Caenorhabditis elegans: one gene and its partner. The protein of the gene in region 1 interacts with the protein of each later gene in a pairwise test. Each region holds a gene or a part of one and is shown on either strand. Other genes may lie near its edges.

Evidence for each region. Proteins that work in one complex are often made in the same cells at the same time.
Region 2: the proteins of ZK666.2 (region 1) and ZC239.15 interact in a two-hybrid assay, tested with the Caenorhabditis elegans proteins (one large-scale study listed by BioGRID).

What each region holds. Positions count from the first base shown.
Region 1 is NC_003280.10:10,469,273-10,475,865, reverse strand, and holds ZK666.2 (Spore coat protein), read left to right. Parts: upstream 1-3,975; coding exon 3,976-4,170; downstream 4,171-6,593. Other genes in the region: clec-58 (VWFA domain-containing protein), read left to right, coding at 32-246, 349-447, 672-871, 919-1,113, 1,238-1,350, 1,396-1,488, 1,547-1,645; ZK666.1 (Pepsin-I3 domain-containing protein), read left to right, coding at 4,519-4,932; clec-143 (VWFA domain-containing protein), read left to right, coding at 5,611-5,650, 5,699-5,841, 5,945-6,162, 6,228-6,326, 6,374-6,573.
Region 2 is NC_003280.10:3,220,440-3,227,828, reverse strand, and holds ZC239.15 (BTB domain-containing protein), read left to right. Parts: upstream 1-3,097; 5' UTR 3,098-3,185; coding exon 3,186-3,296; intron 3,297-3,341; coding exon 3,342-3,611; intron 3,612-3,924; coding exon 3,925-4,036; intron 4,037-4,078; coding exon 4,079-4,284; 3' UTR 4,285-4,496; downstream 4,497-7,389. Other genes in the region: ZC239.17 (Potassium channel tetramerization-type BTB domain-containing protein), read left to right, coding at 1,949-2,347; ZC239.16 (BTB domain-containing protein), read left to right, coding at 2,544-2,654, 2,703-3,059; ZC239.13 (BTB domain-containing protein), read left to right, coding at 5,015-5,125, 5,176-5,319; ZC239.14 (BTB domain-containing protein), read left to right, coding at 5,819-5,929, 5,974-6,252, 6,301-6,421, 6,471-6,631; ZC239.22 (FTH domain-containing protein), read left to right, coding at 7,055-7,206.

The DNA.
Region 1 (6,593 bases):
ATTTGAAAAACTATTCAATTCAAAATTCCAGGTTCGACAAACTCTAACTCAAGTTTTTGGGTCGGATATCAGAATCGGAACGGGATATTCGGACAAACGTAGTACATGTGTTGGATTTGTGACATACAATAGTAACGCTACAGTAACCGCTGAACTGGATATTGCAAAAAGTTTCCCCGATATTTATAATATTATTCAAGGATCACTTGTTGATGTCGCATCGACAAATGCCTCATCTCTTGGAGAGTAAGTTTTCGAAAGAACATTAAAAATTTTATACCTAAAATATATTACTATAGTCATTTCCGTATGCTTTATAATTGATAAAATAAAATAAAACAATTACAGAGGACTTTTGGCAGCTCAACGTGTTCTGAATTCCGGAAGACAACGCACCAATCGATATAATGTGAAACAGGTCATTCTTGCATTTGCAGCTGATTTTCAGTATGTTTTTAATTACAATTTTTTGACCAAATTATTTGAAAACTTTTTAATTTTTATAAGGATGAAACGAAGAAAACGAAAAGTTAGTAATAATTTTTTAAAGTATGCACAAAACAATCCTTCCTGTATGACTGTTTGAGTTGGTTGCATTTGAAATATTTTGGTTGTTATTTATCTTGATTCTGAAATTGTTGAAAGCTTTTTTCGGAGCTTAATATTTTCAGGGACGAGTTTAGCAATCTGAATGCAATAGAATTGTCACGTGATCTACAATCAAATGGAATCTCTATAATTACCGTGGCATGCACAAAAGACAGCTATGCACTGCCAAGAATAAATATGTGTGCTACTCCAGGGTATGCTTTTGTCGATGAAATGAATACGTCAAAGCTTGTAAAACAATTGACAGGTGCTCTTATAAACAGTAAGTACATTTTTTGTGGTTCTGGAATTATTTTGATAATTTTTCAGTTAACTGCTTCTGCCCAGAAGATTGGGTTCAATACACGGGATCGGATAAGAAAAAACTAGGAGTTTGTATCAAGGGATTCGACTTTTCCGGTTCCGCATGGGGATATGACCATGCTGTTCAATATTGTCAGAACCAAGTAAGCAGAGGACATTTGGCTAACGAGTTCAGCAAGGAAAAGCATGACTTCATAAATCGTAAGTCTATTTGCATATAAATAAGTGTTTTTTTCGTGCGGCAGTTTTGAGATTTTAGGAATATGTACCTAATTGATACCGTTTTTCCAATATTCTTGTGAAATTCATTTAATTATTGTTTCAGTCTACATGATGAATACATTCAATCGTGGGATGCATCTTGACTACTCCATTGGACTACGTTATTTAAATTCCACTTGGGTCTGGGAGGAGCCAAAGGGACAACCAAAACTTCCGGTATTGTTTTCATTCATCATCTAATGAAGAGTATATTTTTTATAGTTGAATCCTGATATTTATTCAACATGGGCACCAGGATACCCACAGAAAAACTCAACTGGGCAAGTAGTTGGTGTTAAAGCGAATGGAATTTTGGTAAGTATTTTACTCACGTTGAGTCTGAAACTAACATCAATTTGTTCCTTAATTTCAGACCAATTGGGTGGGCAGTGCAACTTCGGAATGGCTGTTTGTCTGTCAGGTTCAGTCAAGCAGCACAGAGCATTACACAACATATGTGGAGCAGCAGTGATCATTTTTTAAGTTGCTCATTTTTGTATATTCTTAAATTTAAAACAAAACTTGCAACGTCAAATTTCCAGTAATTAATATTAGCGCATTCGATAAGTTTTAGCGATTTTTTCCTGTTTTATGTTCTACTGATGTTAAAAATATTCATATTTCCACGGCAGCATTGAAATAATTTTTAATCATTTTTCCAATAGTCGTACTCTACGTTTAGAGCATTATTAACATGGCCAATCTAAAAAATTTCGATCTTTTGGTCCAGAAAAAAACCAGAAAGCACAGAAAAACCACAAATCAGAAAAACGACAACCCAGATACGTAAAGAACAGGTGAATTCAAATCTGTCATTTTTCAAACTTTTACTTCTTATTTTAGCACTCAACCTTTCATATTTGATCTCAAAATCACACATCTCCGAGTGAAAATATTTAGTTGCGTTTGTTCCTGAAAGTTATTAAAACTTTCCATTGATTTCCAAACTTCAAAAAACAATGAAATGCTGCTCCAAATGGATTTTTATTAACGTTACATTTAATCGGAGGCGTTTCACTACTGATGAATCTTTTGGCAATGTATATGATATGGTTCCAGTCAGCAGGCATGTATGGATATAGACATTGTCTTACATATGTGCAGGTAGGATTTTTTGCTAGCATATGTGTTGTTAGAAAAAAATATTCAGATAGTTTCCTTCTTAGTTGAAATCATTATGGCATGGATGATTCCACTCCATATTTTCTTTCCACTGGTAGCTGCCATTACGTTGAGAGAAGGTCATCGCATAATAATGAGTAATCAAATGGCTCTCACAATATGGATATTCCTGCTCTGTCTTGTTCTTCCGGCGAGTATAACTTGTTTTATCTACAGACATGATGCAGCTTTGCAAATCAATGAAGTGGGTCTCGAAAGTTTTTTCTCAAATGTTTTCCATAGCAATATTGTAGAACAACTCCAGTAAATATTCCCACAAAAAACTTGCCATGATTTTAAATCACATTTTCCCATTTCTCACCGCCATCGGCACCTCAAATTGTCAAAGTACTATTGAGCAGAAATATGAATATGTGCTGCAGGTGAGAGATATCAGGATACCCATGCATAAAAATTGACATTCAGAATTACCCACAGTGCATATCTTGGGTAGCATCAGAAAATTTCGAGGCGTATGACTATCATGTGAATCCTTGGCTTGTAAGGACGGTTAGTGCGGGGATTGGATTTATGGTCGTCAGTACAATGTGGGTGTTACTAAAATTTGAAATAGTTTGAATGTAGAAACTTGAATTTGAAGGAAAAATAGATTGGAGTATGTCTGTCTAATAAATAGTCTCAGAATGCTTGATTCAAAATCTATACAATAAATAAAAAGTTGAAAGAGTACACTACAGCCATGGCGCCTGTCTTGGCGTTCATACAATGATTGTCCTCCAACGCCTCCGATCCCATATGTCCGTACAAATCTATCAGACGCACCGAACAGCCCTCATAAGTTTAGCAATGCAAATGGCCTGTCCTTGTGTTTTCATTTTTCCGGTTTATTTTTATGCTGTAGTTTCCTGGTTAGAAGCTGTTGAGTTGCAAGGTGAGTTTCTTCTGCAATAAATTCTTTTAACAGGATGATACTTCCAGTATTCGTAGCCTGGTGTCCATGTATAGTGTCAACACATTCACTTTTGCTATGCACTGTGATGATCATGAGGAATAAGAACTACCGTTACGTTTTGAAAGAGAAGCTCTCGAAAGTGTTAAGGCATGTAATGAACATAGATCAATATCTCTGAAGTCAGGTTTCAAGTGATGTGGAGCCAAGTATGATGAGGACAATAACGTAGTGGTAGTTGCTCCTGTCACGACAACCGCCGGAAACCCTATCGCGGCGGCTGCCGTGAAGTCTATTAACAGTCTCCTCTGGTTTTTGTCGTTCTTTATTATGAAAAGGTTTTCTTTTATATACATCAAAATGGGCGGGAAATAGATTGGAATGCACTTAAAGTTGTGGGTGGATACATTCAATTAAAAGATAAGGGGATTGATAAAAATGAAAGTACAAAAAATATAAAATCTGATCCTCTTTGTTGCAGAGGATTAGACAGCTCCAGTTTTACCATAAGCCACCGAAAATATAACAAACAGTTAGTTTTCATTGTTCCAATAAATGTTTCACATGGCATTTAATATATATTTGAATAAATGGAGAGTAAAATTTCATGAAATAAATATATTTTTGCCCGCGTTAATGTGTTTTTTTAAAATTTTAACAAGTAATGTTTTTTCTCTAATTTTTCATATACATAAATTCATTCCTATTTTCTCACCGATTCGATCGAAAGAATGTACGCGCCGGGATATACTCCATATGTTGCTCATGGTTCCCCGTATGGTGCCCCAATGTATGGATCTCCGTATGGATACGGATACGCGTCGCCTGCCTATGTGCAACCAGTTGGACCACCAGTTTATGCTGGACACGGAGGATATTATAATGATGACTGCTGTGGATGCTGCTGTGGAGGATATTACTACTAGCCCTTGATATTTTTTATTATTTGAATAAAGATTTTTTCCCAGAAAAAATAAAGATAAACACTCAAACCAATCTGAACATCCAGCTCCCCACTTACAGCGATCAATAATAGCCACCCATCAAAACTGTCTCATCGTAAAAGGTGCAAGGTATCCCCCACCTATATCTCCTCTTGTCACAGTGGGAAAACGGTCGAACGCTGGTTAACAACCAAATGGGGGCGTGGCACTCAGGCCCGTATATATAAAGACAACCGGAAAAATAAGAATCATTCATTCTGGAAATCTTCCAGTTGTTAGCTACCTAGCTCTTTCTTACTCACAACTTCACTTTCAATTCTCACTGTCAAAATGGAGTACTCTTACATTCCATCTTTCGCCCTTTACAACAATGCTGATATGTTCCAATTCTTCCCTCGTAATAAGCGTCTCAGTACTCATCAGAAATCTTGCCTTGATGAGCATGCTCGGAAAATGGCTGTTTTCATGATGAAGCGACAAGAAGAGTACCGTTACTACGAGAACTTGGCCAATCAGGAACAGTTCTCCGATGATGCCCACTTCAGCGACAATGGAATGGATTCAGGATTCTGCAGTGGAGCGACATCAACTGGACAATCAGCTTCTACATCTCCTGCTCCAGTTCAGCTCATTCCAAATCCATTCTTCGATCCAGAAGCCAAGACTCAATCTCCAGTGAAACTCGTTGACAATCCAGAGCTATTCATGGAATCCAAGAAGAAGTCTGCCCGTATTTCAGCTTAATGTTTAAACATATTCAGTTTCCATTTTTGTGATTTTTATTCTTGATTAATTTGTCGGATCTCATAACCCTCGTAATAATTGTACATTTCAAAATCTCCCTGAAATTCTTTGTGCCGGTTTGTTTACTTTTTTTTTCAATTTTCAAAGAATAAAATTATTCAAATTCAAAACTAATTTTGTGGCAGTTTGCTCAAAAAACACAAATCTTATAAAAAACTACATTTGCAACAAAATTAAAAATCAATTCTACTTACTATTAGAAACGAACAAACTCGCTTGAAACTGAAAATAAGTTTCTCTATTTTTGGAAGACTGAAAACTTTCAAATTACGGTAGTCTTTTATAAAAAACATTGTGAATTCTCATAGTCTAAAGGTCGATTAACAATGATATCATATATTTCTAAATCATAAAGTCCGATATCATCATTGCACCTCCCAAATTTGCAGTTTTTGTATCTGTCTAGCCAACCAACTACGGTTTTCTTTTCCTCCCGCCCCTCATGGACCAAAATTCCGTCAACTATCGGTATTTCCATTTGTGTTCTTATCACTTTTCAAAAAAGATGATAATAGCGAGGAGCAAGTGATGATGACAAGCAATCTAGAAACAAGAAATGGGTATTTAAGAAAGTTTAAATGCTATCGAAAATGTCGAAAAGTTGAAGTTGATCAAAAAATGAGTACACTCGTCATATTTTTAACGTTGGCAGTTGTAGGTGAGGTTTCGACAGTTAACCAGACATGAATTTAAATATTTTTTTTAGGTACACTATGTTCACCGGTTCTACAGAACTCAGCAGCAGTCTATGCTGACCGGGTATGCCAGGGAGATATCAAAAACTTGTGGTTGGACGTAGTTGTAGTTGTTGATAAGTCTCAACTGATGACAAATGCACAGCTCTGGCAGGTTAGTTGTAATTTTTAAAAATCAAAGTTTTTCTTTAATTTGAAAGTTTAAAAAAATCTTAAATTATTTCCCAAATGTCCAAATTAACAAACAATGTTTTTAGGTCAGAAATACCATTACTCAATTATTTGGCTCATCTCGAATCGGTCCAACTAAATACCCAGCGGATCCTCGTAGTACATGTGTTGGAGTTGTGACGTATGATTCCGATGCTACCACAAACGCTCAATTGGACGGACCACACAGTTTCACTGATTTGTACAATGTGGTTCAAGGATCATTGAACAACGTCGATTCTACAAATTCGTCGTATTTGAGCAAGTGAGTTGAGATCTTCATTAAAAAAAAAGTAACTCGCACAAGTTTCAAAACTCACCAACTTTCAGAGGACTTCTGGCGGCTGAGCAAGCACTCAAGAATGGGCGTAGCCGCACATATCGGTTCAACTTTCTGAAAGTTGTTATAGTTTTTGCAGCTGATTATCAGTAAGCTGGAAAGAATGATGTAACATTACTAAAAAGTTAAATTTCAGAGGATCAGGAACCTCTAATGATGCATTCCCAATTGCTAGACGCATGAAATATGACAATACTATTATCATTACGGTAGCGTGCACAACGAATCAAGCAGCATTGGATGGATTAGCACAGATTTCTAGTCCTCAATTCAGTTTAGTGGATGAGATGAATACTTCTAAATTGGTTAAACAGTTGACAACGGCGCTATTGAGCAGTACGTTATATATTTTTACG
Region 2 (7,389 bases), 7.2 Mb from region 1:
AATTACGTCTCGAAAAAACCATTGGTTCCTTGCGCAAATCGCGCCAATAGTAGCGGCAACCGTCAGGCCCATCGAGATTGAATTTCTTTTCATCGGAGAAGACAACCTAAAACAATGATCCTAATTATTCACTCTTGCTTTTTTAAATTCTCACTTTACTCCAATTCGTTCCCATATTGTTCTTAGCAAATTCCAATCGCTTGAGTTTATGGTCTGCAGAGAGTAACGGAGCAGGGCGAAGTTTCTGACGAACGATTACACCAGATCGTTTGATGACATTGAGGATGGTCCTTTTTGAAGCAGACAATTGAAGCTCATTGCGAATATCTCTTGCCGTCTTACAGGAGTTGGAGGCAGCACGAATCACATTTCGTTCGTCACGCACGGAGAGAGCTTTGCGACGAGGAGCTCTTTTAGATGTACCGTAGCTCACCGGATCCTTCAGATACTCGCGAATACAGTGTCGAGAACGGGAAATTTTCCTACTCATTTCATGCAGGGACACATTGAGCAATTTCATAACATCCAGCTGAGCGCGTTCAGTGTCCGAAAGGGCAGATCCTCGAGGCATTGCAAGTTAGACTGCTTTCGAAGTAAGCTTTCCAGCCTCTATATGTGTGCCACAACACATGCCACAATTCCACATTTAATAATTCACGCAAAAAATAGTAAATAACATCTGTGAGGGACAATTTAACTTGAAATATTGGTCCCATGGAACCTTGTAATCAAAGAAAAACGATTTGATTCCTGATAAGCCTTCCATTGTTTCCTGCTGCATATTTTGCCAAATCAGCTTGACTACACAGTCGAAACATCTAAAGTGCGTGCTAGGAATTTTAGTAGGAACTTGTTAAAGAGAGTTTATCAAGTTTTGGCATTACCGAGAGCACCAGGAAGCTTGAAACAGACTTGAACATCAAAGATCGGAAGAATCAGAACCAGTCTGGAGATCCCACGAGAACATTTCGTATTAATTTTTTAAAGTCAAAACTGCTTATATGAACTCATTTCTAACTCAAACTTGATTTGAGCTTTGTCAAAAATTCCAAAATCTGTTGATTTTAGTAAAAATCGTGAAAAAAAACGGGGGGTCCTATAGAAGTTTCACACTGGATTTTGACGTTTTTTCCAGCGCGACCTCAGTTTTTGAGATAAACTTCTGGAAAAAAATTTATATAGGTTTTTTTCAATTTAAAAACGAACGGCATTAGCAGTTTTTCGAAAAAATTTTCGGAAGTTCCTCAAACCTTCAAATTAGGGGGGGTCCTATAGAACTTTCCCACACTGTATGATTATAAAAACAAAAAAAAATGAAGTTATAACCCCAATTTTAAACTGTAGTGTTTTGAAAATTTTTGGCAATTGGAATCTTCGGAAACTGCTGGTTTCAAAAAATATGGGAAATTTTTCAATTTTTTGTGAAGCTGCCAAAAACTTCAATTGCCGAAAAATTTCGACTGAGGTATTGCATTTTTTATTGGAAATTTTGAAATTTCAGTTGTAACTGCAAAATTACACGTATCTTACATGAAAAATGAGAAAAAATATATTAGAATTCTTGCTGAAAACGAGAAAAAATGTCAAAAATATGTGTCATCCGTTTTTTCTTATAAAAATTCCTTCAGAAATTTTGCACAATTTGCAAAAGCGGAAATCGGAAAGTTTTCTATACATGTCTTGAAAAAAACTCCACCGCCACTATTTCCTAAAATTTGTTAAAAATATAAAAATGGCTGTTAATTGCAAATCGATAGACTTACTGATAACAAAACTTCATCTCACTTTCTTCATTTCTCTTCCCCACAATTTTTTTAAAAACTCTCCAAAAAATGTGCGAAATTATTAAACTAGACGTTGGTGGAACTATATTCAAAACTTCAAAAGATACATTAACGAAACTCGATAGCTTTTTTAAAACTATGTTTGAAAGTGATATTGCGGTATAATGTTGCTGACTATATTTCTCCAAAAACCTGAACATTTTCAGCCGAAACTCGAAAAATCCGGATGCATTTTTATTGATCGTTCCCCGAAACACTTCGAGTTAATTCTGAACTTAATGAGAGATGGGAATCTGTGGTTGCCCGAAACTGAGAAGGAATTGAGAGAGTTGTGTGCGGAAGCAAATTACTATCAGATGTTTGGACTGTACAATAAGTGCGGTGTGAAACTTAGCACTATAATAAACTTCCGAATGATTCAAAATCAAAAACCAATAACTAAAAATAATAGTTATACTCGTTTTTTTGTTTTTTCATTAATTTTTTTGGTATTTGTGTATTACATCCCTGCACTAAAAAGCTATTTTATTGTTGAAAAATCTAGTAAATGCTACCTATTTTAGTGGCTATTAAACGCAATTTTCATTGTATTATGCTATCATAGAAATGTGAACAGACCCGAACGTAAACCTATTATAGTATGGAAAAAAATCAATTGAAAACACTGATAACTTCAAATCGATCGACTCACTGATAACAAACCTTCATTTCACTTTCCTCTTTTTCTCCTCTACAATTTTTTTCAAAAACTCTCCAAAAATGAGTGAAATTATTAAACTAGACGTTGGCGGAACTATATTCAAAACTTCAAAAGATACATTAACAAAGTTCCATAGCTTTTTCAAAACTATGTTGGAATGCAAAACTGGGGTATGAAAATCGTTGTTTTTTTCCAAAAAAAAACGTGAAAATTTCCAGCCGAAAATTGAAAAAACCGGATGCATTTTCATAGATCGGTCCCCGAAACACTTTGAATTGATTCTGAATTTAATGAGAGATGGTGATCTGCCACTGCCAGAAGATGAAAGAGAGCTGAGAGAATTGATGGCAGAAGCTCAATTCTACTGGTTGGATGGTCTAGTCTTAATGTGCTGTGATAAACTTAATTCTACAAAAAAGGTCCAAATTGATCAAAGAGCAAACACTAAAAAATATGATTTATCATGGTTTTTTGTTTTTTCAATAATTTTTTTGGTTTTAGTGTTTGTGTATTACATGCCTGCACTAAAAGGCTATTTTATTGTTGAAAAAAGAAATAAATGTTATCTTTTTTAGTTGTTGGAAATTTTAATTTTTGTTAAAAAAAATCATTTTGAAATATGTACTGATCGATAATCTTATAACTGATAACAAAATTTTACTCCATCTTTCTCTTTTTCTCCCCTAGAAAACTCTTCGAAAATGAGTGAAACTGTGAAATTGGACGTTGGTGGAACTATATTCAAAACTTCAAGATCTACATTAACAAAGTTCAATGGATTTTTCAAAACTATGTTGGAGAGTGACATTGGGGTCCGATTTTTCCAAAAATTTCCCGATAAATTTTCAAATTTTCAGCTAAAAATTGACGAATCTGGGAGTATTTTTATTGATCGGTCTCCGAAAAATTTCGACTTGATACTGAACTTTATGCGAGACGGCGACGTGGTTCTACCCAATTGTGAATTGAAACTGAAGGAGCTGCTAGTAGAAGCTCAATTCTATTTGCTCGACGGACTCATTGAGTTGTGCAATTCAAAGATTGAGCTTGTTGAAGCTCCAAAGATAAAACTTCGATTTATTGAAAGCGATGAACAATTTCTTCAAATTCTTGCTGTTCAACAGAAGGTGAGTTTCGATAAAATAATGTAGTTTTTCAAATTCATAGGAATATCTCAGTCGGTAGTGGTAGCTGCTAGAAAGCTAGAGGTTGCGGTTTCAAGTTTAGACTCATCCCCTAGGTTCACCCAGTCTGTATTGGAGAGTGGAGCAATCCATGACTGTATTATCGGCCACAGTCCCTGGCTAGGACGTGGCTTAAACTATAGGCCAGTGCAAGCTGTAGTCCTAATAGTAAGGCCACACTGTATGGCGTTTGTCAATCATAAAATAATTAACCAGTTTCTTCAAAAAATTTCAGCTCTACATATAATTTTTACAGCCAATGCTCATAATTGAATTTTGCATGGTTGGGAATGATATGTCGATTCCCTATAACTTTAATCTTTACGAGTTCATGGAAAAGTATTCACATCAGTTCGATATTTATTTTCGTAAGTTTTTTGTACATTATCCTCATAAAATAGTCAATTCAGAGCGATTGAGTGAAGACGAACCTTCTCGCAAATGGAAAGCAAGGATAAAATGGAAACCTACTGAGAATGGATATTACAGTCAATTTCCACACAATCTTCGAATTAATCGAGGTGGACGGATAATACGGGATGCAACATTTTTGGAACGATTGGAAAAAATGATCGGGGAGTTTGATGAGTATTTGAAGAAGCAGAGGAATAGATAATTAACTTATTTTATGGATTTTTCGACAATATTTCTAATTTAGAAGCTTAAAAAATTATAATTTAGTAAGCTTGTTTTTTTATCTTTAAACACAAAACACATGGATAAGTTCAAAGTCTGATTGATAACAAACATTCTTATTTTTATTTTTTGAGTTTGGTTGCATCTGTGCCTCAAACCGTAACTATTTTAAAATATGAACAAGGTTGTTAAACTAGACATCGGCGGAACTATTTTTAAAACTTCAAGACCGACATTAATAAAATGTGATGGATTATTCAAAACTATGTTTGAATGTGAAAGGGTCTGATTACCGTAATCGATTAAGAGCGATTGAGTGAAGACGAACCTTCTCGAAAATGGAAAGCTAGGATAAAGTGGAAATCTACCGAGAATGGATATTATAGTCAATTTCCGCACAATCTTCGAATTAATCGAGGCGGACGGATAATTCGGGATGCAACTTTTTTGGAAAAATTAGAAAAAATGATTGGGGAGTTTGGTCAATATTTGTATTTGGAGAAGCAGAGAAAGAGATAATTAACTCATTTTGTGGATTTTTTGACAATATTTTCAATTCAGAAGTTTTTTTTTATTTCTTAACATTTTTGATTTTTTTGTAAAAAAAAAAACAAAATTTCGCAACACTGATAATTCAAAATCGATCGGCTCACTGATAACACAATTTCACTCCGTTTTTCTCTCTTTTTCCTCTCAAAAACTTTTCAAAAATGAGTGAAACTGTTAAACTAGACGTTGGCGGAACTATTTTCAAAACTTCAAAAGATACATTAATGAAACTCGATAGCATTTTTAAAACTATGCTGGAATCTGGAACAGGGGTTTCATGATATTGATTTCTTACCTGATTTGAAAACTTGAAAATTTTCAGCTGGAACTTGACGAATCCGGATGCATTTTTATCGATCGCTCCCCGAAACATTTTAACAGGATTTTAAATTTCATGAGAGATGGTGACCTGTCACTTCCCGAAAATTGGAAGAATTGCTGGCAGAGGCTCAATATTATTTGCTGAATGGACTCATTGAATTGGGTAATATTAAAAAGCTACCAATTATTGAAAGCGCACGAACTTGTTCTGTATCTTCTCCCCCACCTCCATGGATATCCAAACCTTCTTGGATTTCACGGAAGTGATTGTTTAACTGAAATAAATTGAGTTTTCATTTTATTGGGAGTATTGTAACTGGAAGTGAGTTTATAGAGAGTTTTAAAAATAATACAGTACAAACAAACTTAAACTTCCAATTTTGCAATTCTGAGGAAAAAAACAACAATTTGGTAAGGCTGAACAATTAAATCGACTCACTGATAGCAGAATTTCACTCTGTTTTCTTTTTAAGTGTTTGTTTGTTTCTTTAATTTTCATCACATTAATGGAAAAGTAAACAGAACATTTTTTGAAAATTTTTTCTTTTCTGAGGAAAACAAAATTTCGAAATACTGCTCGATAAACCTGATAACTAAATTTCACTCTACTTCTTCTCTTTTCTCCACTCAAAAACTTTTCAAAAATGAGTGAAATTGTGAAACTAGACGTTGGCGGAACTATATTCAAAACTTCGAAATCTACATTAACAAAGTTCAATGGATTCTTCAAAACTATGTTGGAATGCGACATTGGGGTTTGTTTTTTAAATTGTCCATTTTTGAATTTGCTAAATTTCAGCTGAAACTCGACGAATCTGGATGCATTTTTATTGATCGCTCCCCGAAACATTTCGACTTGATACTGAATTTCATGAGAGATGGTGACGTGGCTCTACCCAATTGTGAACTGAAATTGAAGGAACTACTAGTAGAAGCTCAATTTTATTTGCTTGACGGGCTAATTGAGATGTGCAATTCAAAAATAATGCCAGTTGAACCTCCGAAACTAGTTGGGAGAAAATTTCAGTTTATTGAAAGCAATGCAAAATTGCTTCAAATTCTTGCTGACCATCAAAAAGTGAGTTAGACTGTACTTTTATTGCTTTTAATTTTTGAAGTTTTTCAGCCATTGCTCATTATTGGATACGTACATAATACCGATATACTGCTTAGGGTGTCCCTTCCAGATAATTTCGATGCGCGTGCGTTCATTGAGAAGTATTCCGATCAGTTCGATATTTATTTCAGTGAGTTAATATAGAAAATAATTTTGTTGATATGTTTGATTATTTAAAGAGGAACACGTTTCACCTGCTCTTGGGTGGACTGCAAGGATAGTGACGCACTATTATGAGCAACGAAACGTTGAGCTTCCGCCGCCGTCAATTGGCTGGGGACAAAGTGCATCGTTTTTGGAACGGTTGAAAAAAATGATCAAAATCTATAATAGTCTTTAGAAAACTGGAGAATGACCAAAAAGTTAACATTACTGTTCCATTTTCATTTCTTGAATGAAAAATGTACATTTCAGCCAAATTTCTTATTAGATCAGTTTGAAAAGTTTGTAAAAAATTTGAGAATGTTGTAGATTTTTGCAAGGAAATTCATTCTTATCTCAAAATTTTTTAAGCTTTTCATTTTGAAATCAGAAACCAAATCCTTATCACAGACATAAAAAATAGTTTCCTGTGGAAAGCCGGTCACATGTTTTAAGATAGGAAATGGTGATTAATTTTGAGAAAAGTGCACTTTTCCGACTTCTATCACTCAGTTTTCAGTTTTTTTTCTCAATAAAAATGCTATCAGTGTGCTACATTTCAGAGCCCCTTAAAAAGGCTACCACTTTCTCCAGTTTATTTTTTTCCGGGTAAACAGCCTCAATGCTAAACTTCATTTTCAGCAAATTTGTATTATTCTTAATTCTGTCTGCAAGTTTCACGTACTCCATTAAGTTCACAGCACTTGTGAATTTGAGATGTCGGAGCTATGCGGTTTGGTATAGCCATTCCTCGATGTGGGAGAAGGATTCTTTGTAAGTCCATCCAACATTCCAGAAAATTTTTAGCATTTTGGTTCCTATACTGCCCCAAGTTCGGGAAAAATTCAGTTTTTTGGAGGAGCGATGCGGTCGCGTAGCGGTAAAAAAAAAAGTGTTTAACACCTATAGCTAACGTTCATAATGCCATTTTTGAGATTTTCATGAGCTTTCCAACAA